Regions from separate parts of the Mus musculus genome. Here regions 1, 2, 3, 4, 5 and 7 are each reported to be linked to region 6. The links are microRNA targets in miRTarBase. Many come from high-throughput screens and were not tested one by one. Region 6 holds a microRNA gene; each other region holds the end of a gene's coding sequence.
The links. Region 6 holds the annotated microRNA mmu-miR-9-5p (UCUUUGGUUAUCUAGCUGUAUGA, at 2,807-2,829, opposite strand). A microRNA usually pairs through its seed, bases 2 to 8, with sites in the 3' UTR of a target mRNA and lowers its output. Matches are read on the target gene's strand: a 7mer-m8 pairs with bases 2 to 8, a 7mer-A1 pairs with bases 2 to 7 and ends in A, and an 8mer does both.

Region 1: miRTarBase lists Ufl1 as a target of mmu-miR-9-5p. Seed matches in the 3' UTR shown: 7mer-m8 at 2,129-2,135.
Region 2: miRTarBase lists Clstn1 as a target of mmu-miR-9-5p. Seed matches in the 3' UTR shown: 7mer-A1 at 1,826-1,832.
Region 3: miRTarBase lists Vbp1 as a target of mmu-miR-9-5p. The part of its 3' UTR that is shown has no 7-base or 8-base seed match.
Region 4: the mRNA of Egr1 is a reported target of mmu-miR-9-5p. The part of its 3' UTR that is shown has no 7-base or 8-base seed match.
Region 5: the mRNA of Scrn1 is a reported target of mmu-miR-9-5p. The part of its 3' UTR that is shown has no 7-base or 8-base seed match.
Region 7: miRTarBase lists Thrsp as a target of mmu-miR-9-5p. The part of its 3' UTR that is shown has no 7-base or 8-base seed match.

Annotation. Positions count from the first base shown.
Region 1 is chr4:25,246,926-25,251,127 of GRCm38, reverse strand. It overlaps Ufl1 (UFM1 specific ligase 1), which reads left to right. Exons shown (of 20, transcript NM_001355512.1): 19 at 440-702; 20 at 1,159-3,979. The coding sequence ends at 658. All of the region lies in intron 1 of LOC115489977 (a long non-coding RNA gene), which reads right to left. Among named protein-coding and RNA genes, the nearest start is that of Fhl5, 6.2 kb to the right of the region's middle.
Region 2 is chr4:149,646,665-149,650,876 of GRCm38, forward strand. It overlaps Clstn1 (calsyntenin 1), which reads left to right. Exons shown (of 19, transcript NM_023051.5): 18 at 102-286; 19 at 709-2,235. The coding sequence ends at 900. It overlaps Pik3cd (phosphatidylinositol-4,5-bisphosphate 3-kinase catalytic subunit delta), which reads right to left. Exons shown (of 22, transcript NM_001164052.1): 22 at 2,504-4,113. The coding sequence ends at 3,976. Among named protein-coding and RNA genes, the nearest start is that of Mir7023, 6.8 kb to the right of the region's middle.
Region 3 is chrX:75,533,332-75,537,547 of GRCm38, reverse strand. Vbp1 (von Hippel-Lindau binding protein 1) reads right to left here. Exons shown (of 6, transcript NM_011692.2): 6 at 2,602-3,640. The coding sequence ends at 3,570. Among named protein-coding and RNA genes, the nearest start is that of Gm15384, 16 kb to the left of the region's middle.
Region 4 is chr18:34,863,319-34,867,508 of GRCm38, forward strand. It overlaps Egr1 (early growth response 1), which reads left to right. Exons shown (of 2, transcript NM_007913.5): 2 at 1-1,638. The coding sequence ends at 450. Among named protein-coding and RNA genes, the nearest start is that of Egr1, 4.2 kb to the left of the region's middle.
Region 5 is chr6:54,505,629-54,509,802 of GRCm38, forward strand. Scrn1 (secernin 1) reads right to left here. Exons shown (of 8, transcript NM_027268.2): 8 at 3,188-3,734. The coding sequence ends at 3,576. Among named protein-coding and RNA genes, the nearest start is that of Gm52863, 4.7 kb to the right of the region's middle.
Region 6 is chr13:83,737,434-83,741,649 of GRCm38, reverse strand. It overlaps Mir9-2 (microRNA 9-2), which reads right to left and starts at 2,836; the gene lies at 2,765-2,836. It overlaps C130071C03Rik (RIKEN cDNA C130071C03 gene), which reads right to left. Exons shown (of 4, transcript NR_152245.1): 4 at 342-3,480. It overlaps Gm51268 (predicted gene, 51268), which reads left to right and starts at 2,774; the gene lies at 2,774-2,829.
Region 7 is chr7:97,413,584-97,417,799 of GRCm38, reverse strand. It overlaps Thrsp (thyroid hormone responsive), which reads left to right and starts at 250. Exons shown (of 2, transcript NM_009381.3): 1 at 250-768. The coding sequence starts at 297. The coding sequence ends at 749.

The DNA of each region.
Region 1 (4,202 bases), not on the chromosome of region 6:
ACTGTAAGATGCATGGTGAAAAGTCCTGTGGTTTTAAAGGTTAAGTTTTCAGGAAAGATATAAGAATCTCTGAACTTCTGTCTCAGTTTCCCTAGTTTTGATTTAGCCCCCAAGGACCCTTCAAAAGTCTTGTCCAGTTTAGCTAAGGAATCCAACCCCTAGCTAAAAGCACCTTGGCTTCTTTAGTCCTTATTATTTTGTGTCTTAGGTCGTAGAACCTGGCTAAATCAGATTCCTGTGACATGGTCTGCACAGGTCTTATGTCTCCTGATCTGCACTCTGAGAACACAGACCTTGCTTGCCAGGTTCAGCTTTCCATTAACATGCCATTGTTCCGTGAAGATAAGGCTATTCTGTTTGTGCTGTTCAAACAAATTCTATTCTCCATGTTCACAGAAAATGAGATGTGCTTGGTACAGTTTCTTCTTTCTTTCCACAGGATCAACATACTCTCTTGGTAAAATATCAAGGTTTGGTTGTGAAACAGTTAGTCAGTCAAAATAAGAAGACTGGGCAGGGAGAGGATCCGTCAAGCGATGAATTAGACAAGGAACAACATGATGTCACAAACGCTACTCGGAAAGAGCTTCAGGAACTGTCATTATCCATTAAGGACCTTGTTCTCAAGTCCAGGAAATCATCTGTCACAGAGGAGTAATGCCCCTAACTGACTTTTGTTACATAGTATTTTCCCCAAAGTAGGTGAGTGATCACAAAATGAGTCACTCAGCACACCTACTCCCCCTCCAACCCGCCCCACACAAGTCAAATAAAGTAGTGGTGTGGTAATAGATGCAGACTTTATGGGAAGCTTTACTGCTGAGTTCTCCGTGAAACGTTTTCTTTTCATATAATCCGATGTGTAATTTTTTATGTAATAAAATTTCTTCAAAGAGTTCTGAATCTAGAACATATTATATGCTTTAATGTTCTTCCAGATGTTAAAATGAAAAATAAAATAGAATACTTTTTATCTCTAGGAAAGGACTTGTTTGTTATTTAATTTATATGGTATATTTTTTACAAGGAAAAATGTTTATATGTCTGAAATAAAAAAAAAGGAATCAGCTTTACTTTTAAATTTATAGTGAATGCTTTAGAAGTAGAAATTTTCAAATATATTTTGTATTCCTAAGTTCTGGCTCTTGCTTTTAACAGCTAGAAGGAAGGCCTCCTGCATGAACATCTCCAGAGGCCTCAGAAGTGATTTAACAAGTGAGAACACTGAAGAAGCAAGCATTGCTGTGTTCGAATAAAGCAAGCCACAGGGTACCGTGAGGGAAAGCGTGAGGCACGCCGCAGAACAGTGCAAACCATGTGTCTGTCTGAGGGGCTAAAGGCACAGAGATGCTTCTGTCATTAGCCCAGTTTAGAGTTCTAAGGTTTAGTTGTTTGATTTCCGTGGCTGTTTTTACCCTTAGTTCTTTGTTGGAAATTGTATGACAGGTAGCTAGGCTGTTCTAATGAACACAGAATCTGTGGGTGTTTAAACTGTGCAGAAATTATATTCTAAAAGTAGACGTGTTTAAAAGTTGAATTTTTGTTTTCTATGATTATTAGGTAAGACATACTAAAACAGTTCCTTGGAACAATAATTTAAAGCAAGTTATAAGCAACATCCTATTGTCAAAATTTTAGTTTTTCTGAATGTAATAAAATTAAAACCCAGATGTTTAAGGAATGCTATTTTATATAATGTCAATGGAATTTTTATATTTTAAAATGTTTAAATATATAAATAACACTACCTCTTTTCTGAAATGGCAAAGTGTTAATAATACTGCATAGAAGTCCTTAATTATTAATTAAAAATTTTATTAAAGTTGATGATAGAGATTTATAGAAAACATTAAGGGGCTGTAGAGGTGGCTCAGTGGGTGCTGCTGTTGTTGTTGTTGCTGTTGTTGTTGTTGTTGTTGTTGCTGTTGTTGTTGTTGTTGATGGTGATGATTTGCAGCATCACATGGATGCTTTGTATCTCCAGTCCCAGGAAAGCCAATGCTTTCTGGCCACTCCGGGCACTAAGCATACACAAGATGTATAGGCGCACATGCAGGCAAAACACCCATACACATAAAAGAATATAAATGATTTCACATGGGTAATTTTTATTGTATATTTTCATATAACCAAAGGAAGAAAAGTAATAAATTCTATGACTCCAAAACTACTTTATTTTCGTATTCAGCTTCCAAATTAGTACCCAACCTATTCAACTTTTGTTTAATAACATGTTTCAAAAAATACAAAAGTGATCCATATTTGCTTCATACTCTACAATTAAAGTAAACACAAGAGATGATCACATAAACTCAGTTTAATTACAAAACTAAAGTAGGAAAATGTAAAGCTGTGTTAATCTTACTTGCATTTATTTCATTTGTCCAAACAGTTTCTATTTTTCCTTCATAAAAAAACATGTTTATAAATTATACAGCTGATTTTGTCTCTATAGATTTAATTTCTGATATTTTTTAATGGACTGAGTTAAGAACATTATTTAAAATAAAGTTGTCTATTCTATTACATTTTATGTTATACAGTCTATGTAATGCTTATATTTTAAATTATTCTGATTGTTAATGGAGATGACATTTCTTATTACACAAAAATAACTTCCTTGTATGTTCTATTGCTTGAATGTTTGCCATTATCTTACTAAATCATTTCTCAGCCAGATTTCAGCAAATCTATAATGTTGTTAGGTCTGTTAACTGTTGCCATTATAGGAGAGATCTGGGAAAACACGCCCCGGTTTCCATCTTTACACTGTTATAAAGGAAACCCACTCTGACCACCTACAACAGCGGTTCTCAACTTGTGGGTTGTGCCTGACCCCTCGTTAGTTGTCAAAGGACCCTTTCGTGGGGGTTGCCCAGTGCCATGGAAAAAACATATATTTACATTTTGATTCATGAAAGTAGCAAACTTACAGTTATGAAGTAACAATAAAATAATTTCATGGCTGGGAGTCAATACAACTTCATGGCTGGGGGTCAATACAACATCAACTATATTAAAGGGTCACAGCATTAGGAAAGTTGAGAACCACTGCCCTAGAAGATAGAATCTCACTGTGCTTTGAGCAAAGACCATAATGCTATAGAATAGTAATAAAAAGTGTATAACACTCTGTGTAGGGCTACCCTGGACATGTTAGAGAAGCTTTTTACCCAGATAATGAACAAGGTCAAAGTTTACCAATGAACAATCATTGGTTTTGTCGAAATGTCATCAACCACGGGCATAAATGTTTTATTGTTGCCTTTCTATCAAAAACTACTTATGATAAATTGGATGAAAGGAGAGTGGAGAGGAAACTTTATTTTCTTTAAATTCTATGAAGTCTTTACCTCAGTAGACCTGAGAGAGAAGGTAAAAATACACATTGAAAACTCTGGGATGATATTCCACACGCATTTTGATTCATTACTATTGACAGGATTGTTTTTTAACGAAAAAACAATGTTTAACTATTAAAAAAATTAAAATAATAAGTAGCCTTAAAAAGGGTTAGACATATTGTTCTACTTTTATGTACATTTAACAAATGAGAAAAGAGATAGGAGAGTCGTATACATTCACTAAGAACCCTGACTTACAGGTGTTCAGAAAACAGTTGCACGACACACAAAAGGAGGAGGAACATTTAGTTAAGTATGATTCATGTTCACAGTCTAGTACACAAGAGAGAAATCCTTTGTCTGCCTCAGCCAGCCAGCCAAAAGTACAAAAGTTAGTTCATCTTTTATGCTTCAATGGGAGGAAGTAAAATTATTTCCTTTCTGAGCCTTTAGGCCTTTAACTTAATTAGACCTCAAGATTCGACAAGCAACTGAAGGCATAATGAAAGGTTGGCACAAAAAATGCATACCTGTAACCTCCTGTGGGTTACAAGATCAAAGCCAGCCTTAGCCACATGGTAGATGTCTCAGAAAATGCAGTTGTTCATGTAGTATTAAAATGTAAATGAAATTAATGCAGTAGTTTTTCTGTCCTTGTCATTCTCCCTGTGATTCTTGGGTTAAGAAACACTTGATAGATCCTTTTTTGTTGACACAAACAAGCAGTGGGCTGTGGGAGAACGAAGACCATTTCCTTAAAATTTTTATTATAGCCATTATTCCCAGCTAATTTAAAGATAATATTTTACTGATTCAGAAAGTCTCAGTGTATTAGTAAAAGCCTAGTGAGATAGCAGT
Region 2 (4,212 bases), not on the chromosome of region 6:
AGAGTAGTTGAGGAGGCCAAGGAGGGATGGGATGGGGGGAGCTCTTTGGGTGTAAGCAGCGTCACAAAAGCTGTGTGTCTGGTCTTCAAACCCCATGGCAGTTGTCCCCAGCACGGCGACAGTGGTGATTGTGGTGTGTGTCAGCTTCCTGGTTTTCATGATCATCCTGGGGGTGTTTCGGATCCGGGCTGCACATCAGCGAACGATGCGGGACCAGGACACGGGGAAGGAGAATGAGATGGACTGGGATGACTCTGCCTTGACCATCACCGTCAACCCCATGGAGGTAGGCACAGAAGGGCCAACCACAAAGCGCCACGGAGACCCAGACCCTGGTCATGTGCTTGCAGGTTGGGTCAGTGAGATTAGATTAGGGGGGTCACCTTCAGATGAGGAAGCCCTTGCTGAAGGCCTCCGTGAGTAGCATAGGCAGGCAACTGACGCTCTTGGCTTCTTTACCCCAAGATGTCCGTGGTATGACAGGACTAAGCTCCGCCCCTCTGCATTGAGCACCCCATCCCATGTGAGTGGTATCCATGTTGCTAATGAGAGCGTCACCTGCCGGGTCACTTTGGCGAGGCGACTCCCAGTACCACTCAGGCCCTTCTGTCACTGTGGGGTTGGCTGTGTTTTCCTTTGTGGCTTTTAGTAGATAGACACTGGGCGATGGGGCTACAGGCTAGATTTACGCCGTCGTCTCTTTGCCAGACATATGAGGACCAGCACAGCAGTGAGGAGGAGGAAGAGGAGGAGGAGGAGGAGGAGAGCGAAGATGGGGAGGAAGAGGAAGACATCACCAGTGCCGAGTCTGAGAGCAGTGAGGAGGAGGAAGGAGGCCCCGGAGACGGCCAGAATGCCACCCGACAGCTGGAATGGGATGACTCCACACTCAGCTACTAAACCCGCACTCAGCGCCTGCTCTCCAGACTCTCTCCCAGCCCCACGGGTCCACGATGTACAAAATCATTTTGACCAGCAGGTCTGCAGACCCTTCCCCCACTGCTCAAAGTCCTCCCGTGCTTGGTGTGTGGGACCACCGGCTCCACCCTCCCCGCCCATCACCATTGCAGTTTTGCTAGAAGCTGGCGCTTCCTCCCCAGGGCAGGGGCCCCACAGCACCTCAGACCCCAAGTGTGTCTGGAGTTCCCTGTCGGCCAGGGAGAGGACACCAGCACCTGGGACCTCCAGAGAAGCCGCACTGAGCGGACTTGTCGACAGAGGGTGAAAAATTACTCCCACGCAGTCAGTAACCATTTCTCTTATTTTTAAAAGTTTTTTTATTTTTTTTTCCCAAACTAGTGCATGTATAAAGTGGGAGAGCAGAGGGGGTTAATATGTAGATGGCCAACCGACTTTTTAATATTTTGTAAATAAATTGGGATTCTGTGTGTCCTCTGTGCTAGTAGTCCAGGACAGGAATGTAAAGTCAGAATGCGGGGCCAGGAGGGCCTCTTCCTCCCTCTTCCCTCCCAAGAAACCAGGTTGGAGAGGCCCAAGTCACTGGGGCCCACCCTTGCTAGGGTTTCCGTACAGCCACGTGGCCGGGGCCATGGCTTTCAAGTGCTGTCTGGGGGGGCCAGCCCCACGAGCCTCCAACCACATTAGAGGCTGGGAACAGCCAGGATGTTGCCAAAGCCCCTGGCCTTTCCTGTACACGCCTGTGACTGGCAGCCACATGGTTTCTGCTTATTAACGTGAGCCTCCCTGTTGGTGAAATGGTGTAGCTGGGAACGGACAGCAAAGGTGCAGGCGGTCAGGCTCCTCGCTTGGAAGACCACGGTTCTGAGCAAGTCTGCACAACAGCACCAAAAGGAGACCCCGAGGCCCAAAGATAAACTGCTACAATGCTCCAGAACAATCTTTTCTCTCCTCCCCAGAGGCCCCATGGGATGCCGCGTGCTGTTGGGTTTGGGCTAAGATCTAAGACCCAGCAGATAGGAGACAGCAGGTACCACCCACACAGCACAGCTCTTCATTCACAGTCAAGAGTTTAGACTGCTCCAGCTGGGACATCCAGTCCTCGCTGCTGTTGCTGCTAGTTCGAAGGATGCCGCCGTGCTGTCTGTGGCCGCCCTCCCATGTCCTGTCCCCTGTAGCTGCTTTCTTAGATGGAAACAGGCTAACGAAGAGAGGGACACTGTCGTGTCAGTAGCCGCAGGGTCCCCTTTAAGATGTGTATATCGACACTAGGTCAGAAAGTGTATGCGTTATAATAAAGTTCTGGTTCTAACTCCAGCCTGAGTGGGGTCCATTCTGTCATGTTTGTTGGGTACGGGTTGGGGCAGGGGTTGAGGGATTTATGAAGATAGGCTGGGCTCAAACTTAAAGCAATCCTCCTGCCTCTGCCTGCTCAGTGCTGGGATTACAGATGTCCACCATGCCGGGCAAGGATTATTAATTTTTATGGTACTAAGGAATGTACCTGAAGCTTTGCACTTCGCAGACAAGGGCTCAACCAGTACACTGTATCCCCCCAAGTCCCCTTGTTATTTGAGCCAAGAACTTAAGAACATAAAAACGTTTTTATTTCTTTTCACCTGTCTTTACCTGTTGTGTCAAGGTTGCACAAACTGGTCTCAGCCCCCATCAATGAGAGGAAAAAACTTAACAAAAAACCCGTCTTCCAGCCAAGTACACACCCAACCCAGAAAGGCCGAGCCTGTGCAGAATCTGCAGCCACACCAGAGAGCACCTAGACTCTTTTCAATAAATAACATGGCATACATACATACACACACACAGACACGTTTCCTATTTCAGAGTTGGTGGGGCAGACTAGGGGTTCAGCGGGTGCTGCGGAGGCACCACCGCTCACTGCTGGACCCTGGGCTCATCAACATGAAGGGGCTCCTTGAGCCATGTTCTGGGCTGCTGGCGAGACAGCGGTGATGGTTCTCAAAGTCTCAGAATGCTACCGGGAGATCCAGGTCCTGAGGTGGCAGCTGATACATGGAGATGTGCTTGGGGTGGGACGATAAGCATGTGCGACCCCTGAGCTGGGCTCTCTAAAAGCCGGGCGGGTGGCTGGCGTTTGGATCCCTGGGAGGAGGCCGAGACTGCGTTTCTCGAGTTCCTCTGACTGCCCAGACTACACTGAATTCCGTTCTCGTCCTTGCTCACACTTTTCGAGCCTAGCTCCCCAGCTGCCTTCTGCGATTTCAGCTCTGGAAGAGATCAGTCCTGTCCGTCCATAAAGCTGCCTTGTGTGCCCCTCACACGAACTTCGAAGAGGACTTCAATTCTGGCTGGCCCTTCGTCTTGATTCGTGACCACACGGAGCTAAATGGGGCACCGGTCTGAGTGCTTCAAGGCCTGGAATACACTAACTGTAGTGGAGGCCAGGTCCCTTACCCCAGCCATCGGGGTAAGGGACAGAGTCTACATATCGTGTTCTTACCCGCAAATGAGAGGTGAGGGCGTTCCCGTACCCAAACCCAAGAGGTCGCTTCAGCAGTGCCGAGCAAGTGTGCCTGAGTCTAGAGGGAAGCTCCTGGCTTCCTCAAGAGCTGCCGGAGGCTTGGTTGGGTAGGCCACACAACGGTGGCCGGAGGTGAGCTGAGGATGGAGGCACCAGGTGACCGCCAGGCTTGTTCCAGGCAGCCTGCTGGGAGCCTGGGAAGAAGGCCCCAAGAACTGTCCTTGCTGGGCCAAGACCCACAGGTTGGAAGACTAGGGGTTCGATCCTCAAGGTGCTGTTACAGTGCTGACCGGGGATGACATCATGAGGACATCACCCCTCCCCTGCACAGAAATGCACTTCCATTTATGGCTATTCTGTTCCTTAAACATTTCGAGTCATAAATAAATTACCAGTGTAAACAAGAAGCAGTGGTGTGGTTCTTCCCCATGAGGGACAGTTCAGGCTCTGGGGTCCCTTTGGTGACCACTGGACATGCCTGGTCTCCAGGACTGTCCTTTTACCTCTAGGGCTGAAAGCCAGGAGGGAACCGCCGTATGACCACCAGGGGGCGCCTCCTACTGTCGGTTATCCTTGGACACATTGTGCGCCAGCCAGTTGACTTTGGTTTTCCAGCTTTCTCGGAGAGCTTCGTTGAACTTCACCCGGAAGTGCTTTAGCGCCTCTTCCTCCGTCTTCCCCAGTGCCAGAGAGTCCTGGACAAACCACACACAGCAGAGTGACACTGAGGGACTTTGCTCTGTTACGCAATCCAGAATGAAGCCCAATAGGATGCTAAATTCTCTCTGTATTCA
Region 3 (4,216 bases), not on the chromosome of region 6:
TTTAAAGATGAACAAATTACCCATGATCCTGAGCTTTTAGAGAAGGAAAACAGTTTTTCAAGCTACTGTGGGTCTTAGTTAACAATGCTTCACTTATTTCTCAAAGCAGCTGTATCAAGCTCTATTAACAAAACAGCTCTGTTAACTTGAAAGTAAAATGCTAGAACTTTTGACTCTATAATTTCATTTTTTGGCAATCTAGTTTCAGAAAAAATTCTAAATACAGGAAAAAGTCTTATATGAAAACAGAAAGGCATAGTTTAGATGCAACCCAAATACCTAATAAAACAATGAGCTAACTGTGGTTCACTTATAGTTTATTTTAAAACTAGAAAATAATATTAAGAGTATTATGAGAGTAATAATAAAATAATCATAAAATAAGCATGAATCATGGCCTGGTGATTCATGCTTATAATCTTAACTCTTGGTAGGTAGGAGCAGCGGGACCTGCAAACTTGGGACATTCAGAGTCTGTCTCAAAGGAAAAACGCATTTTATGAGCCAGTTTCATGTTAAGAATGAATACATTATAAATATACTATTTTTTCTATAAATTTATGCATAAAACAAGAAATAGAAGCTGAGCATAGGGATAGTGATTAACAGGGAAGTAGGTAGAGATGGTAGCACAAACATCCAATCTTAGCTTTTGGGAGCCTGAGGCAGGAAGATCATGAGTCTAAGGCCAACTCAGGATCACAGTGAGTTTCAGTCCAGCTAGGGATAGAGTAATGCCCTAATCAAAAAAGAGAGATAGGAAAGGAAAGGTGAAAGGAAGAAGGTTGGTTGGTTAAGGACTTCAAGTAGAATTTAAACATCTCCACCCCATTATTTTTCAGTGTTCCTCACATGTAAAGATTTTATAAAGGAAAACGTTAAACTGAAGTTACTGTACATCAAGTTTAACAAACTTCAGCCCATATATTCTCACTCAGTATATTTTGTGTATATTGTGTCTGATGACACCATGTTATATACCTAGATGGTTATATTATTCTAAAACTGTATATCATGAAAAAAATGACATCATCTGCAAATTCTTATTGTCTGTTTTGTTGTTTTTGTTTGTTTGGTTGGTTGGTTTTGTTTTTTGAGGCAGGGTTTCTCTGTATAGCCCTGGCTGTCCAGGAACTCACTTTGTAGACGAGGCTAGCCTCGAACTCAGAAATCCGCTTGCCTCTGCCTCCCAAGCGCTGGGATTAAAGGTGTGCGCCACCACACCCGGCTTGCAAATTCATATTTAAATTTTTATATTTAAGACAAAAGAAGAATACCATTCCTATATTAACAGGGACATCTTGTACCAATATAATTACTACAGTGTGGGAAATATAGTATTTACAAACTACAAATTCTAAAATTTTAAAAATTTTTAAAAGGAAAACTAAAGAAAATTTATAAAAGAAAAACTAAAAGAAAGTTTGAGAGGAGTTAATGAAAGGGAAAATGTATTGTCCAAAATAATAAATAATAAAAAAGAAAGTTTGGTATATTTTAGATTAAAATCTTACTTGCTTATTCCTTCCAAAGGTTTTCTGTTCTTTCTACAAAATATAAAGCTCTTAAAATATACTAGTTATTTTATATTATTTGTGACTATTGAGAAGGGTGTTATTTCCCTAATTTCTTTTTCAGCCTGTTTATTCTTTGTGTAGAGAAAGGCCATTGACTTGTTTGAGTTAATTTTATATCCAGCTACTTCACCAAAGCTGTTTATCAGGTTTAGGAGTTCTCTGGTAGAATTTTTAGTCGGCCATCACTGGAAAGAGAGGCCCATTGGACACGCAAACTGTATATGCCCCAGTACAGGGGAACGCCAGGGCCAAAAAAAATGGGAATGAGTGGGTAGGGAAGTGGGGGGGAGGGTATGGGGGACTTTTGGGATAGCATTGGAAATGTAATTGAGGAAAATATGTAATAAAAAAAAACTTTAAAAAAAAAAAAAAGCCGGGCGTGGTGGCGCACACCTTTAATCCCAGCACTTGGGAGGCAGAGGCAGGCAGATTTCTGAGTTCGAGGCCAGCCCGGTCTACAAAGCGAGTGCCAGGTCAGCCAGGGCTACACAGAGAAACCCTGTCTCGAAAAAGCCAAAAAAAAAAAAAAAAAAAGAGCACAAAAGAGAATAAATAAAAAATATACTAGTTATGTACAATAAATGCATCTCATAAAAACTGTGGAGACTCATGTTAAGATATTATCTGAGAGCTGGGCATGGTGGTGCACGCCTTTAATCCCAGCACTCGGGAGGCAGAGGCAGGCAGATTTCTGAGTTGGAGGCCAGCCTGGTCTACAGAGTGAGTTCCAGGACAGCCAGGGAGATACAGAGAAACCCTGTCTCGAAAACAAACAAAACAAAACAAAACAAAAAGATATTATCTGGGATTTTCTTTCTCCTGTCTAATACCCCCAAAGTATTACGATATGGGGACGGGGACGGGGGGGGGGGGATGAGTAAATCATGAAGGTTCTGCCCTTGTATTTCAATTGGACTTAAAAGTCTCCAGACCAATGCAATATAAATAATTGTTTTACCTATTTTATGGTATTTGCCAGAAACATATATAGATTAAGACAAAGATTAAAATGAAAAAATTGTCAGGCAACAGGTTGAACATCACTATTTTAATAACATGAAATACAAGTACAAAACATTGTACAAGTATACTTTTTACTACACAGAGATGGAATAACATGCATGTGTTTTTACCAGAATCTGTATCACCAAGTACTTTTACCACAGTCAGTACCAATGGCTTTCCAGAGATTATATCTGTCCTATGTAAATTTTATCATGAATAAAAAAGCTTACAACTCTTTTCAAATAATGCAGATTTATATTTATGTTACTCTTCCTGTTCGAGGTGCTTTGGAAAACTGTTACATAATATAAAAATTACCTTAGCTTACAGTTTTGAATGGGTAGTACTCTCTAGCATTGATCAAGTCTCCCTTATATTGTCATTGTAGACACACTATACTTACTTGGGATCAAAGTGTTATGGATGTCAATAGCCCTCATACTGTGTAGGAAAGCAAATAACAATTTTCTGAAAAGTTCAGAGTATTATAAAAGCTACTTGTTAGGCAGAAATACATGAAACCCCATTTACAGAACAAAACAGCAACAAAAGATGATAATGCCCTTCAAGTACTAAAGGAGAACAAGCTTACAAATATTGGAACTGTATGTCTTTCCTGCCTCTAAAAGGTTTACCATATCCAGTGAGAGTAATATCAACCAATAAAGAAAAAGAAAACTGCTCTGGTGCCCAGTATTCAGCAGCTTCCATAGCATTCCTCACAGTTCTCGGCCATTTCAGTTAGGAGTTGTCTTATAACAGATAAAATAAAACAAAAGCAGCATTACATTTTAGGGAAATATGAAAAAAATACTGGTAATTTCATAAAATATTTGAAAGTAATTTTGTTTTCATAAATAAATAAAATGGTGTTTTTAAATTTTAATCTTGCTGTGAAAAAAAAAATCAGTGAAAATTAGATCAATCTTTAAACCTTGGCTTATTTAACATGTTTGAAAACCTGAATCACATTTTCAATTGCCAGTGTTATGCTTTATTCTTGGTAGAATCATCTTTGTTTCTTCGTTTTACATCCCAATTATAAACCCTGGCCATATCTGCAATAACTGTCAAGGAAAATGAAAATATAATACCAAAGGTAACAATGAAATTATAATTTACTCATAAAGCTAAAACAAAAGAAAACACGGAAATCACAAAGATACTAGTGGCAAATACTGTTGATAGCTATGTTGCTATACTACCAATTGTTAAGAGCAGGGCGTGGTGGCGCACGCCTTTGATTCCAGCACTCGGGAGGTAGGGGCAGGTGGATTTCTGAGTTCAAGGCCAGCCTGGTCTACAGAGTGAGTTCCAGGACAGCCAGGGCTACACAGAGAAACCCTGTCTCGAAAACAAACAAACAAACAATAAACAACAAAAAACAAAAAAATTGCTAAGAAAATTCTGTTCATTCTATATCCTAACATAAAATGTTAAAATGAATACGATTACCCAAAATTTTATCTGGGCTAAACAGATCCTTTAGTTTACTAAATACCTACTGTGTTTTGACTAAGCCTTGAACAAGCTAGGTGAAGCCCCTTCCTTCATGGAGTTTAGATTCATTAGAACATACTCTAATGCCTGTCTACTATTCTAACTTTTCCAGTTTATACAGTATTATATTGATG
Region 4 (4,190 bases), not on the chromosome of region 6:
ATCCGCACCCACACAGGCGAGAAGCCTTTTGCCTGTGACATTTGTGGGAGGAAGTTTGCCAGGAGTGATGAACGCAAGAGGCATACCAAAATCCATTTAAGACAGAAGGACAAGAAAGCAGACAAAAGTGTGGTGGCCTCCCCGGCTGCCTCTTCACTCTCTTCTTACCCATCCCCAGTGGCTACCTCCTACCCATCCCCTGCCACCACCTCATTCCCATCCCCTGTGCCCACTTCCTACTCCTCTCCTGGCTCCTCCACCTACCCATCTCCTGCGCACAGTGGCTTCCCGTCGCCGTCAGTGGCCACCACCTTTGCCTCCGTTCCACCTGCTTTCCCCACCCAGGTCAGCAGCTTCCCGTCTGCGGGCGTCAGCAGCTCCTTCAGCACCTCAACTGGTCTTTCAGACATGACAGCGACCTTTTCTCCCAGGACAATTGAAATTTGCTAAAGGGAATAAAAGAAAGCAAAGGGAGAGGCAGGAAAGACATAAAAGCACAGGAGGGAAGAGATGGCCGCAAGAGGGGCCACCTCTTAGGTCAGATGGAAGATCTCAGAGCCAAGTCCTTCTACTCACGAGTAGAAGGACCGTTGGCCAACAGCCCTTTCACTTACCATCCCTGCCTCCCCCGTCCTGTTCCCTTTGACTTCAGCTGCCTGAAACAGCCATGTCCAAGTTCTTCACCTCTATCCAAAGGACTTGATTTGCATGGTATTGGATAAATCATTTCAGTATCCTCTCCATCACATGCCTGGCCCTTGCTCCCTTCAGCGCTAGACCATCAAGTTGGCATAAAGAAAAAAAAATGGGTTTGGGCCCTCAGAACCCTGCCCTGCATCTTTGTACAGCATCTGTGCCATGGATTTTGTTTTCCTTGGGGTATTCTTGATGTGAAGATAATTTGCATACTCTATTGTATTATTTGGAGTTAAATCCTCACTTTGGGGGAGGGGGGAGCAAAGCCAAGCAAACCAATGATGATCCTCTATTTTGTGATGACTCTGCTGTGACATTAGGTTTGAAGCATTTTTTTTTTCAAGCAGCAGTCCTAGGTATTAACTGGAGCATGTGTCAGAGTGTTGTTCCGTTAATTTTGTAAATACTGCTCGACTGTAACTCTCACATGTGACAAAGTATGGTTTGTTTGGTTGGGTTTTGTTTTTGAGAATTTTTTTGCCCGTCCCTTTGGTTTCAAAAGTTTCACGTCTTGGTGCCTTTTGTGTGACACGCCTTGCCGATGGCTTGACATGCGCAGATGTGAGGGACACGCTCACCTTAGCCTTAAGGGGGTAGGAGTGATGTTTTGGGGGAGGCTTTGAGAGCAAAAACGAGGAAGAGGGCTGAGCTGAGCTTTCGGTCTCCAGAATGTAAGAAGAAAAAATTTAAACAAAAATCTGAACTCTCAAAAGTCTATTTTTCTAAACTGAAAATGTAAATTTATACATCTATTCAGGAGTTGGAGTGTTGTGGTTACCTACTGAGTAGGCTGCAGTTTTTGTATGTTATGAACATGAAGTTCATTATTTTGTGGTTTTATTTTACTTTGTACTTGTGTTTGCTTAAACAAAGTAACCTGTTTGGCTTATAAACACATTGAATGCGCTCTATTGCCCATGGGATATGTGGTGTGTATCCTTCAGAAAAATTAAAAGGAAAAATAAAGAAACTGTAGCCTGTTGTTTCTCCTGGGCTTGGGGTAGGGCTGCGGAGTACCCGTTCCTGCCTAAAAGGGGGTCAAGGTGTTTTTCAGCCTGAGTCCTTACCCATGTGTGGTGGTTCTGGGAACTGACCATGCACGTGTTAAACAGACCTGGGCCAGTGTTTGTTCTGCTTCGGGCTGGTCAACTATAGCTTTGTGTTGATGAATTGGAGCCAGAGGCCACGTGGCCAGAGGTGGTGGCCAATCCAATCCCTTATCTCTACCCAATATTCGAGAAATCTGCTCCAGGCCAGATGTGCTCATAGGAGATAAGAGGTAGACAACACAGGCTTTAGGAAACAGTTACAAGGCTAAGGGTGACTCAACTTCTCCCTCCTTGCATGTCCCCAGCAACTTAAAAACAAGGGCTAGTTGTCCAGCCAAGAATCCAGGAAGCAGAGCTCATCCCTTTGCCAGTTGGAATGGCCATTCTTGGCAGCTTCCTGGGAGACGGGGCAGAATGGGTAGGAGGAGGGTGGCAAAGTATGTTCCCAGTGAGTGGGAGGTACACAGTAGGAGGTTCTCTTGACCCTGGAGCCTAAGGTCTACGCACTGCTGGAGTGATCCTTGCGGGTATGTGAGCATCTGTCTCCTCAGTGAGAGCCTTTGACCTGGCCATGACAGAGCAAGGACAGCTCCTGTTCCAGGATTGCAGATGGTTGGAGAGATGGAGATGTTGAGCCAAAAATGACAGCACAATGGTATGTTACACAAGAAGGGCCAGCGTGTGGCTCTCTGGAAGCACACAGACAGTTGTCCCGTCCAGCTGGGGCCTTGGAACAGGTGAGAACATGAAACAGAAGCCTAAGTAGGGGTTAGACCTCAGGGCCCGTGTGATGCTCGGACAGGGAAGATGACGGCCAATAGGGTGGAGTGTCGCTAGAATGGAGTATTGTACAAGTGCTTCCTGCCACCCTAATGTGCCCTAAGTCTTCTGTAAACTGATCAGATGCCCACAACCTTTGGGCAGATGGTACAGTGGATTTGGTGGGCTGAATTCCCAAGCCTTGGCTCCCCACTCACCTTTGACCCCAGACCCCAGAGTGTCCCTTCCACCCAGCATGGTCACCAGGAACTAAGTGGATGGAGGGTAAACTCACCTCCACCTACTCCTTTTCCTGTGAGGGCCCTTCAGGTTCTCAACCCTGGCCTCCTCTGTCTTGGGAAATTCCAGCAGTCCCTGGGCATCGGCCTGGTTCCTTCAAATCCTAGACCTTCCCTGCCCTTTCCCATGACTCTGGATTCCTCAGCCCCAAGCAGGAGGACCGGGCACCTTCTCTAGACAAGAGCACATCCCTGCCAACCTCCTGGCAAAACTGCCAAGTCCCCATAGGACATTTGTGTTGGCAGACCTCTTCCTAGCCCCACCTACCCTCCTCCATCTCCCTCTGTACTTAGGAACACAGGTCTGTGCCTGCTGTGCATTCCTTAGCCTTCCTCACCCCAAATTCCCAAGAAACAAAGCGCATCGGAAGTCCAAGTGTGTGGGGAGGAAGAAGTCAAGGCAACTTCTTTACCGTGGAGTTTGAGGGCCCTCGTGTGAAATAACTGGCCTTGTTTCCCAGAGAGCCCCATTGCTGCCTTGCATCCGGGGTGGCTTTTGGTACTGGCCTTGATAACAAGGTCATTCCTAGGCAGATGGCTGGCTGAGAAATTCTGCCAAGATTGCTAGCCAATTTTTGCCAGTCTTGGCACCAAGGTTTTTATTAGATTCTAACACTCCAAACTCAAGTTCTTTTGCATGATTGAAATAGGGCACCACTCAAAAAATTGCCCTGTTTTATAGACCAAGAATATAGGTGTGTTGCCAGGGTCTGAGGGTGTAGCTCTCCAACAGGGCTCTTTCAGAACATGCACAAAGCCTGGGTTCCAGAAGAAGCAACCAAAATGACAACAGCATTAATTTCATCTCTTGCTCCTAAGAGGGATAGCTGCAACCAAAGGCTCAGAACAGTGCTGATAAAAGCTGTGACCATAGTAAAAACTGACATTTGGAAAGAGTGCTGAACTAGTGATTGCTACCCGGGGACATTGTTTAGCATCTCGGAAATATGAAAAAGACCAAGACCATAGCATGGAAGAAATGAGAAAGGGGGAGAAACAGATGTAGATCTGAGGTAGAACATGCTGGCCCTCTAGGAATTCTCTAGCTTCTTTTCCTTTTTGGCAGGGTGAGCTATTTCAAGACACAGTTTCTCTGGCTGTCCTGGAACTCAGTCTATAAGAACAGGCTGGCCTTGAACTCAAAGAAATCCACCTGCCTTCCCAGTGCTGGGACTAAAGGTGTGCACCACTACGGCCTGGCTCTCTTGAAGTTCTCAATAAGTCTTTTTCTCTTGAATTTCAGGAATGGTCAGCCCCATGCATTTGGAAAGGTTCCACTTAGAAGAAAAGAACTTGGCCTCCCTGTCATATTCAGTTCTTCTGTTTTCCCCTGTGAGCTTCCTTCTACCCTTCCTGGCTCACAGGAGAAATGGAACCAGGTCAGAAT
Region 5 (4,174 bases), not on the chromosome of region 6:
GTAGACCAGGCTGTCCTCGAACTCAGAGATCCGTCTGCTTCTCTGCCTCCCAAGTACTGGGATTAGAAGGGTACCCCACCACACCCAGCTGGGCTTCATTTTTAAACAGCGAATTTGTCTTTGTAGAGATGCATAGTGTAGGGCCCTCAAGAGGTGGTTGAGTTTTCTAAAGATTCCAACCGGAAAATCCCAGTCCCTCATACGTGTGTGCTGTGACTGGTGCCGACTGTGTCCATGAGACACAAACAAGAGGCTCCTAGGTATTGACTTCCATGTTTTTATTGTACACTTGGTGCATTTAAAGACACTCCGAGGGCAAGCACTGGATAGAGACATCGTTTGATTTGTAGATATCTGTACAAAAGGCTGTTAAGACCACATGTTCAGTCCTCCCCCCACAGGAAACAAAGGTTTTCTGTTATACTGCTTCAGCTATGACATTTCAGTTCGCACACGTGATTAGAGACACGTCCTTATTGATTCCTGCAAGAATTCTCTGCATGACAGTTCAGGATGGTTGGCTTCAGTCAGTAAAAACACGTGTGACACACACCACAGGACAGGAGTTGGGGCTCAGCGCCATGTAGAATGAAATGCCGCGGCTGCGGGAGGCATGGGAGAGCCAGGATGCTCGAGCAATGCCTGCCACACCTCTCCCACCATGGTGTGCTTTCTCCCAAGGCTGAACTCTCAGCTGAAATTAGTTGTGATACAAGAACTCAAGTCAGTAATTTCAAGACACGCACACCTGGCTGCCCTGAGGTCCTTCCAGAGTAGCATCACCTGCGTCAATGTTCGATGACAGTAATTTTGTGGTGACAGTTATTTTCACAGCTACTGATTCATCTAAGAGTAAGGGAGCGTCACCACCGAGCTCTACTAGGCGTACAGCTGCTTCATCAGCTTGTGAGGCCGACTCCTACAGACACTGGAGCTTGTGTTGGGCTAAGTCTCCACAGCGTTTATCAGATGCTTAGCTAGCGTTCAGGCATCCCAAGAATGAGCAAAGACTATTTCCACTTTACTACCTTACGTAGACACTCGGGTGTCTGCCCCCAGCTAGGCTGCCATTTTCATTTACTGCAAATCTCATCTCCACAACACTAGCTAGCTTAGGTTAGGTTCTGTGGGACAGGTGAGACAGGCAGTCCATCCTTCATGATCGTGACTTATTTCTGCCCAAAGTGTGCTCAGGATCCCCTGCCCTCAGGCTTAATAGACATAGGGTGGTCTTCTGGGAAGTTATTTACTGATCGATCTTAAACATTCCCGAAGATCTATTTTTCTGCATGCTGTTCATAAAAGTGACCCCTGATTGAGAAATTACCCATGTCAGAAGTGTTTCTTCAAAGGGAAATCTGTTACATGAATTTTAAAACAAATATTCTCCTAAGTCTGCTTACTCAAAATCCAGTATTATTTCTGCTGTTAGTTTGGCTAAACTCACTAAAGTACGTGCGGGCACCTCGGCAGATTCCCTACTGTCCTCTTGTCTGCCCCCATCCATCCCAGTAAGCAAAGCTTTCATAGCTGGGCTCCTTATCCATTGCCGGAGGAGAAAACCCTTAGAGGGCTGCTGTGCCCTCTGGTGGTAAGATGACAACATGGTTGAGCTGTCCAATGCTCCTAAGAGGATTGGCCTTTCTCCGTGATGCTGGACTACAGTCAATAATAAAAACAACCACTGGGTTTTCTAGTGCACACCTGCATAATAGCGTCACAGCCATCTTCAACCTTGGCCAAAGTAATGAAGAAGGTCGCTGTGTCGTTTGCTACCATTAGACCTCTGATCAAACCCCAAATTACCTGGGTTGTCTCAGGCAGGTCAGATCTGATGAGCTGGCCTCAGAGGTGGAGGGCAGACCACACAGGGAAAGCACAGCACGGCTTTCTGCACCACCTTCCTTAAAGAGCTCAGCAGATGAGGCTGGGACAGGCAACTACTTCCTCCTCAAACCTTGTTCTTTTTCCCCTTTGCACCTGCTGGGCACTTTCAGCTTAGCTGCTCTACCTGTGTCCCTCTGTCCATCAGCAAGAGATACCAGTTTGTCATGAGTTTGTCCCATCTCTTGTGTTTTGCCATTTGTTTATACATGGAACCCACAAACCAATCAAGGAAAGAGCTCACAGTAGACATTCTCTCTCTCTCTCTCTCTCTCTCTCTCTCTCTCTCTCTCTCTCTCTCTCTCGGGTTGGAAGAGAAACAAGATTTGTCCCCCCAAAAAAACCTGTAGCCTGAATCACATTGTGAAATGAGGGCTCAGGTCCCTGCCAGCCCTAAGCCATGCTTGAGATCACTGGTGGACAGTTTCTGTTTGCTCAGCCCTGTCAAGAGTGAGGACCTATAATTAGGCCCCGCAGCACATGCTCTCTAGCCTCTCCTCTAGTCTACACTTCTGTCAGTCATCTTTACGCCTGGCCCTTCAGTCGTGCAGAGTGGCAGTGGATAGGCACCTATACCTCTTTCCTGTTCCAGACAGCATCCAAAGGAATCTGTTGGGCAGTGGGGTGTGAGAACAAAGTGGAGGAGATCCTGGAGGTCAGGTACTCAGCACACTGATGTGGGATCTAGTTAACGAGGCAGTGGGTGGGACGAGGGAGACTGTTCTGTGGATAAATGTCTCACTGCCTTCTGCCCTCAGCCCGCCCTGTCTTCCTCACACACTCCTGTGGCGTCAAATCCTTTGTGCAAACACACGGATGCTGGAAACAAATGAGTTTAATTTCAGGCTCTGCTGAGACCAGGGCTGCTCAGATTCCAGGTACATTAGCTATGCTCTCAGCAGTCAAGAGCGACCCTTTCCTTTCCCTCTTTGGCTGAGATTTGCAGCTGTGTGTGGCTGTATGCCAGGGCCATTTAATGAATCTCATACAAGTTGCTGACAATCAAATCCCAATCAATTTCCACACAGGGCCAGGTCCTCAGGTGGGAGCACTGTGGATGAGGAACTGTGGCTAACATGGATGCCCAGCTCTCCTCCAGGCGGAAGCAGGTCTGCTCCACTGCACATGAGCACAGCTCACAGAAGACAGGTCTTTCAAAAATCGCATACACCAGAGCAGAGCTGGGACTGTACCAGTCCTCTGTTCCTTCCCAGGACATTGTGGGGACTATGAGCTACATACAGGCCTGTGCTCTGTGGCAGGAAGCTGGGGGGCTCTCCCCCATCCACACACAAAAGCCTTTGGTATGAACAAAAGCCTTTTGTTAACCCTAAAGAAACCACTATCTAGAGAGGGACCAGGCCCTTCACAGCTCTTGTCTTTCCCACCAGCGTGGCCCTGCAGCCCTGTCCAAGGCGGAGGGAACTCAAGTTCCTCATAAGAAGCTAAGGTGTCCATTGTCACTGAAATATAAGAACATCTTCAAGCCCATAGCTTATCACACAATGGAGCAAGAGGCAAATGGGATCGCGTTACATAGCAAAGGGGGGAGGGTTGCTAAGCTGAACAGAGGGAACATTTAGACACAAGGAGGCCACATGGTAACTCTCGGTTTACTCACACAGAAGAGTGTTTATCTGCTGGTAATTTAGTCGGGTGGGAAGTTTTGAGTAAGGGTGAGGGTGCTTACATCACTTAAAGAACTTCATCTCGGTGTCCACACAGTCATAGAATAGGTCCCCCACCTCGGCGGGGTCCGGGGGCTCGGGGCTGCTCAGAATCTCGTCCATGGCCTCCAGGCCTTGCTTCTCCAACTCCAGCATGGTCTTCCTCAGGGTGCGACCTTGCTCCTGAGGAAAGGACACAGCCGTGCAGAATGGTCATGGCAGTGGATAGTGACAGCCCGGGATCCCGCTGGCTTCCTGGCCTCCATCCCATCCCCCCCACCTCCACTGATCCAAACCGCCACCACCATGGGGGCCGATTTAGAATATGGTTACAGCACCAGCCTGCTCAGAAACACTTGCACGGCCACCAGCTGTCCGAAATCAGAATAAATCCTGACTACCGAGTGTCAGTCGAGATGCACTGGCCTCTTGCCTTGTGTATCTATCCCTTCAGCCATATGCATGGCTATCCTCTGTGATATTCTCTCCCCATGGCTCAGGTGACTCTGTCCCCTGGAGGCTCTTTCCACCCTCAGCACTGTGCCAACTTGTGCCCCATCTTCAGAGCTCTGTGGGAGGTCCTTCCTCCAGAATGACATAGCTTCTCTCCGCCATAATCACCA
Region 6 (4,216 bases):
CTCCAACTGGTTTACAATGCAGTGGTATGCTAAATAAACTTGATCCGGTTTCTGCCAATGTTAAAACTAGCTTTCAAAGAACTACTTAACTGATAGTTACACTGCTTTTGACTTCAATGTGCGTGCCTTCGGAATATTTCAAATTTTAAAGAAATATCACCTTATGATAAGGTCACTGTAGAGATTATCTTGGACACCATTAGACTCATGCTTAGATATGGTACCTCCTTCAACACACACAAATAAAACAAAATGTCAGAAGTTTGATGTGTAATAGAAAAAAAGAAAATCTGGGACATGTTGCAGCAGGAGCAGTGGGACAGCAAAAAGTAAAATGAAAATAACATTGAAATGTATTTTTATTGATCGATAAGTTATGTAACATTAGTATGATACAAAGCAAGTTGGATATGACAATGGCAAACACATAATTTTAATATTGTTTATTTTCCTTAGATGTTATAGTTAACATATTTACATAAACGACCCAAGATGTAGGCAAAAACTTCAGTAATGTGACTCCATTGAGAGCTTTGAGTAAACAATAGGTTTCCCCAGCAAACATCTTATTGCCTTAATTGAACCTCCTTGAGAAAGAAAAGCACACACTTTGTAATGTAAATGTTAATTGTAGTAGACAATGGTTCTAGGTAAATAGCACCCCTGGACATGAAGCAAATGAAAGGAATACAGGCACTTAACAATGAAAGCTTGTTTGCACAAACAGTGCTTCCAAGGTAAATAAGCAAGGGTCTTCTCGACTGCCTCTACAGCAGTCAAACTTTGGCACGTGTACAGCGGCCAAACTGAGAAGTTGTGTTATTAAAGTCTCTTGGCTTTTCTAAATGAAACTACCAGTGGCTTTACAGGTTTCTCTGGTGTCAATCTTACAAGAAGTTGAAGCTATAAAGAAAAATGTACTGTCCCTGAAGAAAACTTATGCATTTGGGAGTGTCAGTAATTTAGGCCATATGAAAGAAAAGAAGCAATTTTGGAATTTTTTTTCTCATTGCAATGCTTGTATTTATGTGCAAATGCCTATACAAATGTTTGCCTGATAAAATGTAACAGGATGCAAGGAACTTCAAAAAAGGACTACAGTGGTTTCTCCAAAGCCTCAAAGTTTATGCTGGGACTAGTGACTTTTAGATGAAGAGGGAAGAGGAGGAAGAAAAGGAAGAGGAGGGGGAAAAGGGAAAAAAAAAGCTCATCCGCTAGGACAATTCTAAAACAAAACAAGTTCTCTAACATATTGTGATTGTAATCAACTTTCTACAGACTGATGACTTTATAGCTTTATTTCCAGAATGTAGATTAGCATAAGTAGGCCAAGTTCCTGTGTGTCACACAAGGAAGTAAACAACCCGATGAAGTAAGTCATAATAATGAATGCTATGAGACATGACTTTAAAATATAACACAGCCAAAACAAAAGCCAAAGGTGGTCACAAGGCCCTAACCACATACTGAGGACTTCTCTGAGAAGGGCATGCAGTTCTGGGGCACTCTTGGCACCCTTTCCACTTGTTTTCCTTAAATGGTGAAAATTTCAACCAAAGGAGAAATCCAAATTTAATCATGGCCAGATTAAACAGAGGTTTAAAAATGAACAGAGACAGTACATAGCAGCTACCAACCAGTTGGTGTTGCCATTTGGGAGGCTGCAGATGGCTGTGGGTGGGAAATGCCTTTACTTTCTTAAGCGATGGAGATGAGTATGGTGTGTGTGTGCTTGATGTTTTTTTCATACCCCTACCCCCCAACAGGGCTGTCTGTCATAGGCTGCCGGCCAGGCTTTACCACTTGCCCCCGAGCGTGGGAATCGGAGCGTCCTGCCGTTCACATCTCCTGCTTTCCGTTTAGCGGAATCAATTAGGCAAGACAGACCCTCAGATTCCCCACCCCCTTTCCATTTTTGTCAGGTCTATATACGTCCTAATTATTTCAGTTTGGGATGCCAGAGCTGTTTCCTGGATAGACCTGATCATCCTTAAACAAAAAGAGAGGAGGCGCACACGTGGGTTGTGGCGTAAATGTCACTTTCATTTCCAATGCTAGGCGCAGAGTAAGACAGAACATTTTTTTAACACTTTGACAAGAGGGGAGGCGATCTCGTCTCCATCATGTCTTTCTGCTTCAGTAGCTTCCTCAAGGAAACCCTCTTGGAACAGAGAAGCATCTGTCCTTGTATTTTGAATAGAAGAATAAAAATCAGCCTTTGCCCCCACCCCTTTTCCCTGCTAGCTCTAAGTCTTCGGTAGATATAAATTATTAACCTTCCAGTATAAGCTTTACTGAAAGTCTAACTTCACAGAATTTGATGTACACACCCAAATACATAGAAAGTTTCCAGGCACAAGCTTCAAACTTGGGGGAGGGGCCTCAGATAGGAACAGCCCAAATCTACATAATTATGAAATCATTTTTAAGCGAGGTACCAGACATCACTATAACAGCTTTCTAAGAAAAAAAAAGAAAAAAAAAACCTCATATGTAAACGTTTGCTTCAAAATGAACAATATAGAAAATACATGCATCGTCACCCGTAAAAAACACTACACAATTCTCCTCTCCAGTTGTACAAGCCCCTCAAAGCCTGGCCCCTTTAGATTTCAATATGCGTGTCACTTAATTTTCTTGCATCCCACTTTCAATCATAAGATAAAAAAAGTTAGATTCAATAAGCATTCCTGACCTTTCTGGTTTTTACTGTCTCTTGGTTGCAGTCTTTCTTTCCGGAACGTTCCTCGGTGACCTTGAAGGAGTTTTTACTTTCGGTTATCTAGCTTTATGAAGACCAATACACTCATACAGCTAGATAACCAAAGATAACAACTCGCTTCCCTCACAAGGCTGCCTTCCTCTGGCTGAACTCCAGATCTCGATCCTCTTTGGCTTTAGGGAAGCGTAGTCCTCCGGGGTACTTGCCGCGTTTAAGCTTCTCCTTTCATGTAAACATGACCTGGTTTCTGTCTTAGTGTGTGCGGCTAGAACATCCAAATGAGATCTGTTGCATTCAGAGTTTATTCCAAACTTTTCCCCTTCCAGCAAGTAATCTCCAGTATCGTTAGCCAACAATTCATCTATGAGTATCAGAAATTAAGACCAGAGACTAAGGTGCAGCAAGCTGTTGGGGGTGAGCAGCAGTGTCCTTCTCTTCACAGGCCTCTATTTGCATTGTAAATTGCTTCATTCTCACGGAAGATTCTTTAGCCTTCCTCTACTGAGATGTATAAAGCCATCGGCAGTTTCCAACGCTGGTTAAAGAGGAAGAAGGGGGAAATCCCATTCTATAGAAGTGACAGCTGATTCAAAGATCTGCTCCGGATCATTGGGTTAGGCATCATGATCTTTTTTACCAAGTGCAGGCAGCTTGATTGCACATATCTTGTATGTGAATGTTTTAAGGGAGATCCTCGATTTCTTAGGACTTCTAGGCGGGCAGAGCATGCCCTCTTGCTGGCGTACTGCTGCCCCGGTCTGAAAGAAGGAGAAAAGGGCCATCATTGGAGGGGCTTTCACCGCCAAATTGTGGACCAGCCCGGCAAGGTCAAAGGTTTGAGACTGCGGGAGACCAAGGTAATGATGATGTCATGAGAAATCTCAAGTACATGGTTATTGATATGCATCAGTGGTCACCCAACTGCCCCACGCCTGCTGCCAGGAGTAGCACAGGCGACGGCGGCGGCGACGGCGGCAGCGGTGGCGGCGACGGCAGCAGCAGCTTTGCAGCAGTCCCTATATTCTCAATCAACATTTCATCCACTAGCACTACGGACTGCTCCTTGAAAAGCAACCCGCGGCCTTTTACCTCCTTGGCGCTAGTGTAGATCGCTCTAATATCCAAAGAATGGAGAAAATCTCTCTCTAAGGATAGATAAAAGCATTTCAGGTCTGGGGAACTTCTTTGCCTGCATTTCTCTTCTGGCAGATTGCATAGGCAGGCAGATGGAAGGCACTTTACTATTGCTTAAAGCAGGGCCTCGCTTTCTGGGGCTGGGAATCAGCTCTGTTTTTACGCAGTGAGTCGATGGTTACAATGACAATTTGCTTTGGTGTTATGTTTTTAATGGCTTTACAGCTCAGTCATGTTTTCTATCTGTGTACCGTGGCGATAGGGCAGCATATTTGTTCTGTAAGTTCGAACTGCACGATCTAAACAGTGGGGCTTCTTTTTTAAAAATGCTTTGCATATAGAGTGTGTGTGGGGGTTAGC
Region 7 (4,216 bases), not on the chromosome of region 6:
GTCAAGTGTACTAGGTGCCAAGGGGACACAGCTTTCCTCTAGCTGGCTGGGCGAGCTGCTGAAGGAAGAGTTGGCCTCCTGCTGAAGCAGTCATGACAAGCAGAAGCCTGGCAGGTTTGTCCCTGGGTAGATGGATCACCTGATACAGACACTGGGGACCAAACGCTGGGATTGGCTCAAAACAGGGCTGTGTTGCTCCAATGGTTGGGCTTTGGCATCCTGTCAATTTGCTGTCTGCTCAAAAGCCTAGAAATAGCGCTGGGGCAGTCTGCCGGACTCTGAGGAAGGAAGCAACCATGCAAGTGCTAACGAAACGCTATCCCAAGAACTGCCTGCTGACAGTCATGGATCGGTACTCCGCGGTGGTGCGGAACATGGAGCAGGTGGTGATGATCCCCAGCCTTCTGAGGGATGTGCAGCTGAGTGGGCCTGGGGGCTCGGTCCAGGACGGAGCCCCTGATCTCTATACCTACTTCACCATGCTCAAGAGCATCTGTGTAGAAGTGGACCACGGGCTGCTGCCAAGGGAGGAATGGCAGGCCAAGGTGGCTGGCAACGAAACCAGCGAGGCTGAGAACGACGCTGCTGAAACGGAGGAGGCCGAAGAAGACAGGATCTCGGAGGAGCTGGACCTAGAAGCCCAGTTCCACCTGCACTTCTGCAGCCTCCATCACATCCTTACCCACCTGACCCGGAAAGCACAGGAGGTGACGCGGAAATACCAGGAAATGACAGGGCAGGTTCTGTAGGTCTTTGACTCTTCTGAAGGTAATGGTGGCCGTGCTAGTGGGTTATACTCCATAAAGGGTGTTCTGAGGGAGGAGATAAATGGCGGTTTAGCTTAGTAGAAGGAGGCCAAGTGAGCCCTCACATCAGGGTATTGGGACTATCACTTGGGAAGGCCCAGAACTGAGCCTAACTTCTCAGCCTTCTCACCCAGTATTGAGAAGAAATGACCGTGACCTCCTACAGAGGACAGAACTGTAGTCTCTGAACACATCCCTCCTGAGTGTGTGTGTGTGTGTGTGTGTGTGTGTGTGTGTGTGTGTGTGTGTGTGTGTTTGGAGTGGGGGTGCATGTATGTGGAGGTCAGAGGACAGACAACATATGGGTCTGAGGGGTTGAACTCTGATCATCAGACTTGCTGGCAGGCATCTTCATCTGCTGAGCCATTTGGGGCATACATGGCGTGCTCTGGGGTGTCTGCAGAGGTCAGAGGATGGATCTGTGGGGTCAGTTCTCTCCCTCTGGCTTTAATGTGGGTTCCAGGGATGAAGCGCAGATCTCCAGGCTCGGGAAGATGAACTCCACCTGCTGAGCTATCTCACCACCCCAGACTCAGTCATAGCTACTCTTCCCCGGCTTCCTTTCTCCTTTTTATTTTTTAATAGGGTCTCTCTATAAAGCCCTGCCTGACCTGGAAACGTAGAGATTCTTCTGCCTCAGGTTCCAGAGTACCAGCATTAAAGACATGCACACCATGCCCAGCTTTTATGTTAACTTAAAAAAAAAAATCTGATTATAGCATGGGCTGTCCCCAGAGTTGAGATACATACACTCTAACTCCAGGGCATGCGCCACTCCCAAACCTTAAGGCCACTGCTGCCATAGATCTCCTTTGCACACTAAATGCCAGCATTGCCTCAGTTGCTGCAAAAGTTCTGAATAAACCTACAAAGATGAGAGCTTTTTTAGATTTTGGTTATTTATGTTTTGGAAATGGAGTCTCACTAATTGTCCAAGTAGGTCTCCAACTCGGGAGGCTCCTGCATGTCTCCCAAATTCTGGGATTGCAGATATCACTGTGCCTGACTGCCAAAGATGAGGTTTGTTGCTTGTGTTTTGCAAGTGAAGAACCTTACCAAGGGAGATGTATTTGTGTAGATGTGCACTATGAATTCTGTGTGTATGTGCTCGTGCCCTCTCAACAACACAGGGTATGTAATCGCACGTTATCACATGTATTCACACGTTATCGCACGTTATCTCATGTTATCACACGTTATCACATGTTATCGCACGTTATCACATAGGGGCATGTAGGTGAGCTCCACCGTTTCTAGGTTGCAACAGGACAAACAGCAACTATTTTGATATTTGAATTATTCCAGTCACATGTGGGTGTGGAATCATGTCTTTTGGGAATTCCTGAGCCCATGTGCCCGTGCATAGAGGCTGTGATTGTGAAATGAAAATAAACAGCAAGCAAACAGGTCATGGTATAGAGCAGCACATTGTCGGAGAAGGGCCTAGACTATGGGTCCCTCCTAGGCGGGGATTGGGAGAGATCAGATTACAGCGTCTGCTGGTCACGACCATGGGCCACCTGCCAGCCCCATTTTATTATAAACTGGCATCAGTTATAGACCACCTTGCCTAGGACTGAGAGACTAGATTTGTACCTCTGGGGTGGGTGAGATGGCTCGGCTGGTAAAGGCACCTGTCACCAAGTCTGACTGACAACCTGATATTGATCCCTGGGGCTCACATGGGAGAGAGAGAATTGACTTCTGCAAGCTGTCCTCAGTCCTCCATGTGTGCACTGTGGCCTGTGCACTGCCTCCCACCCCACCCCAACATAAAAAGAATTGCACCTCCGTTTACTAGCAAGGAAATGAAAGTTAACTGAGTGACTCATCTGAAGTCACATTGTAAAGGGACAAAAGCCAGGTATACGGTACATGGTATATGGTACATGGTATACAGTACATGGTGTACGGTATATGGTATATGGTACATGGTATATTATACATGGTATATGGTACTTGGTATACAGTACATGGTATATGGTATATGATACATGATATATGCCCAGGACCCCCAGGCAGAAGCAGGATTGGTAGTTCCAGGTCAGCCTCAGAAACCCAAATCTAAGCAAGCAAGCAAACAAGCAAGCAAGCAAACAAGCAAGCAGGCAGGCAAGCAGCAGGCAAGAAGTAACACTGGCCCCAGCTTTGAGCTGAGGGTTCTTTCCATCACACTCAATTTTACAAATTTTGGAAAGACAGGAATCAACATGCCTCCCTTCCCTCACAGAGACTAGACAGTCTTCTGCACCAAGTACTTTCTTTGCTGTTTTCTCTTCACCTCAAACCTGAACTGTCAACCTCCGCCCTATTTTCCTTTCCCCTTGAGGATTCCTGGGCTACCTTCCAAAGGATTTCCTTGAATTCAACCAGGCTGGGTTTCTCTCCCCACTAACAGTTCTAGAGGTCAAGGTCAGGCCACCCAAGGTTGTGTGCCTCAAGTGTTCTTAGCTGCTAAGCCATCTTGCCAGGCCACAGTTTTTTTTGTTTTTACCTTTTTCATTGAAAGAAATTGGAGACTTGCTAGGCATGGTGGTTCATGCCTATAATTCCAGCAATTGGGAGGTAGAGGCAGGAAGATTAGAAGTTCAAGACCACCCTAAGCTACATAGCGTGCTTGAGGTCAGTCTGTGCTATGCAAGTCCTTATCTCAAAACTCAAACTAAACCAACCAACCAACAACCAAAAACCCCTGGAAGACAGAGGAGAAAGATAAGCCCCCAAATTGCTTGCCCTGATAAACCTCATTCTTTCCTTCTGTACTGGTTGGTTTCCTGCTCCTTTAGAAAAATGAAGCCTGCAGCCTTTGGTGGACATGGCAAGTGGGTGGAGCAGATGGAGTAGAAACCATATTCTCTGACCAGTCACATAGCTTTGAAGGTCAGATCAACCCTTCTTGACCACAGTGGTCCAACAACTCTGTTTTTATTCATGGGGCAGTATGGCATAGCAGAAGTTCAGAAATCTGGGCTCTTCTCTTAGCTCTGCTGCTACTCTTTCTGCCATCGTAGGCCTCTTGCCCTTCAGCTTCTTAATATCTCTTAACAGGATGTAGGAGAAAACATAAATAACCCCAGCTCTCATGGACTCTCATGCAGTGCTCATGGACTCTCACGCAGTGGTTCTCAACCTGGGGGTCAAACGACCCTTTCACAAGGGTTGCCTACAACCACTACAAAACACGGGTATTTGTTACAATTCATAACAGAAGCAAAGTTACAGCTATGAAGTAGCAACAAAAACTTTTATGGTTGAGGTTCACCACAACATGAGAAGCTGTGTTAAAGGGTCACACCATCAGGAAGGTTGATAACCACTGCTTTTATGCCTAGGGCTTGAAATGCTACAGCTTTCCAACAATATCGGGTTTTTTTTTTTTTTTTTTTTTTTTTTGGCTTACTCTATTTCAG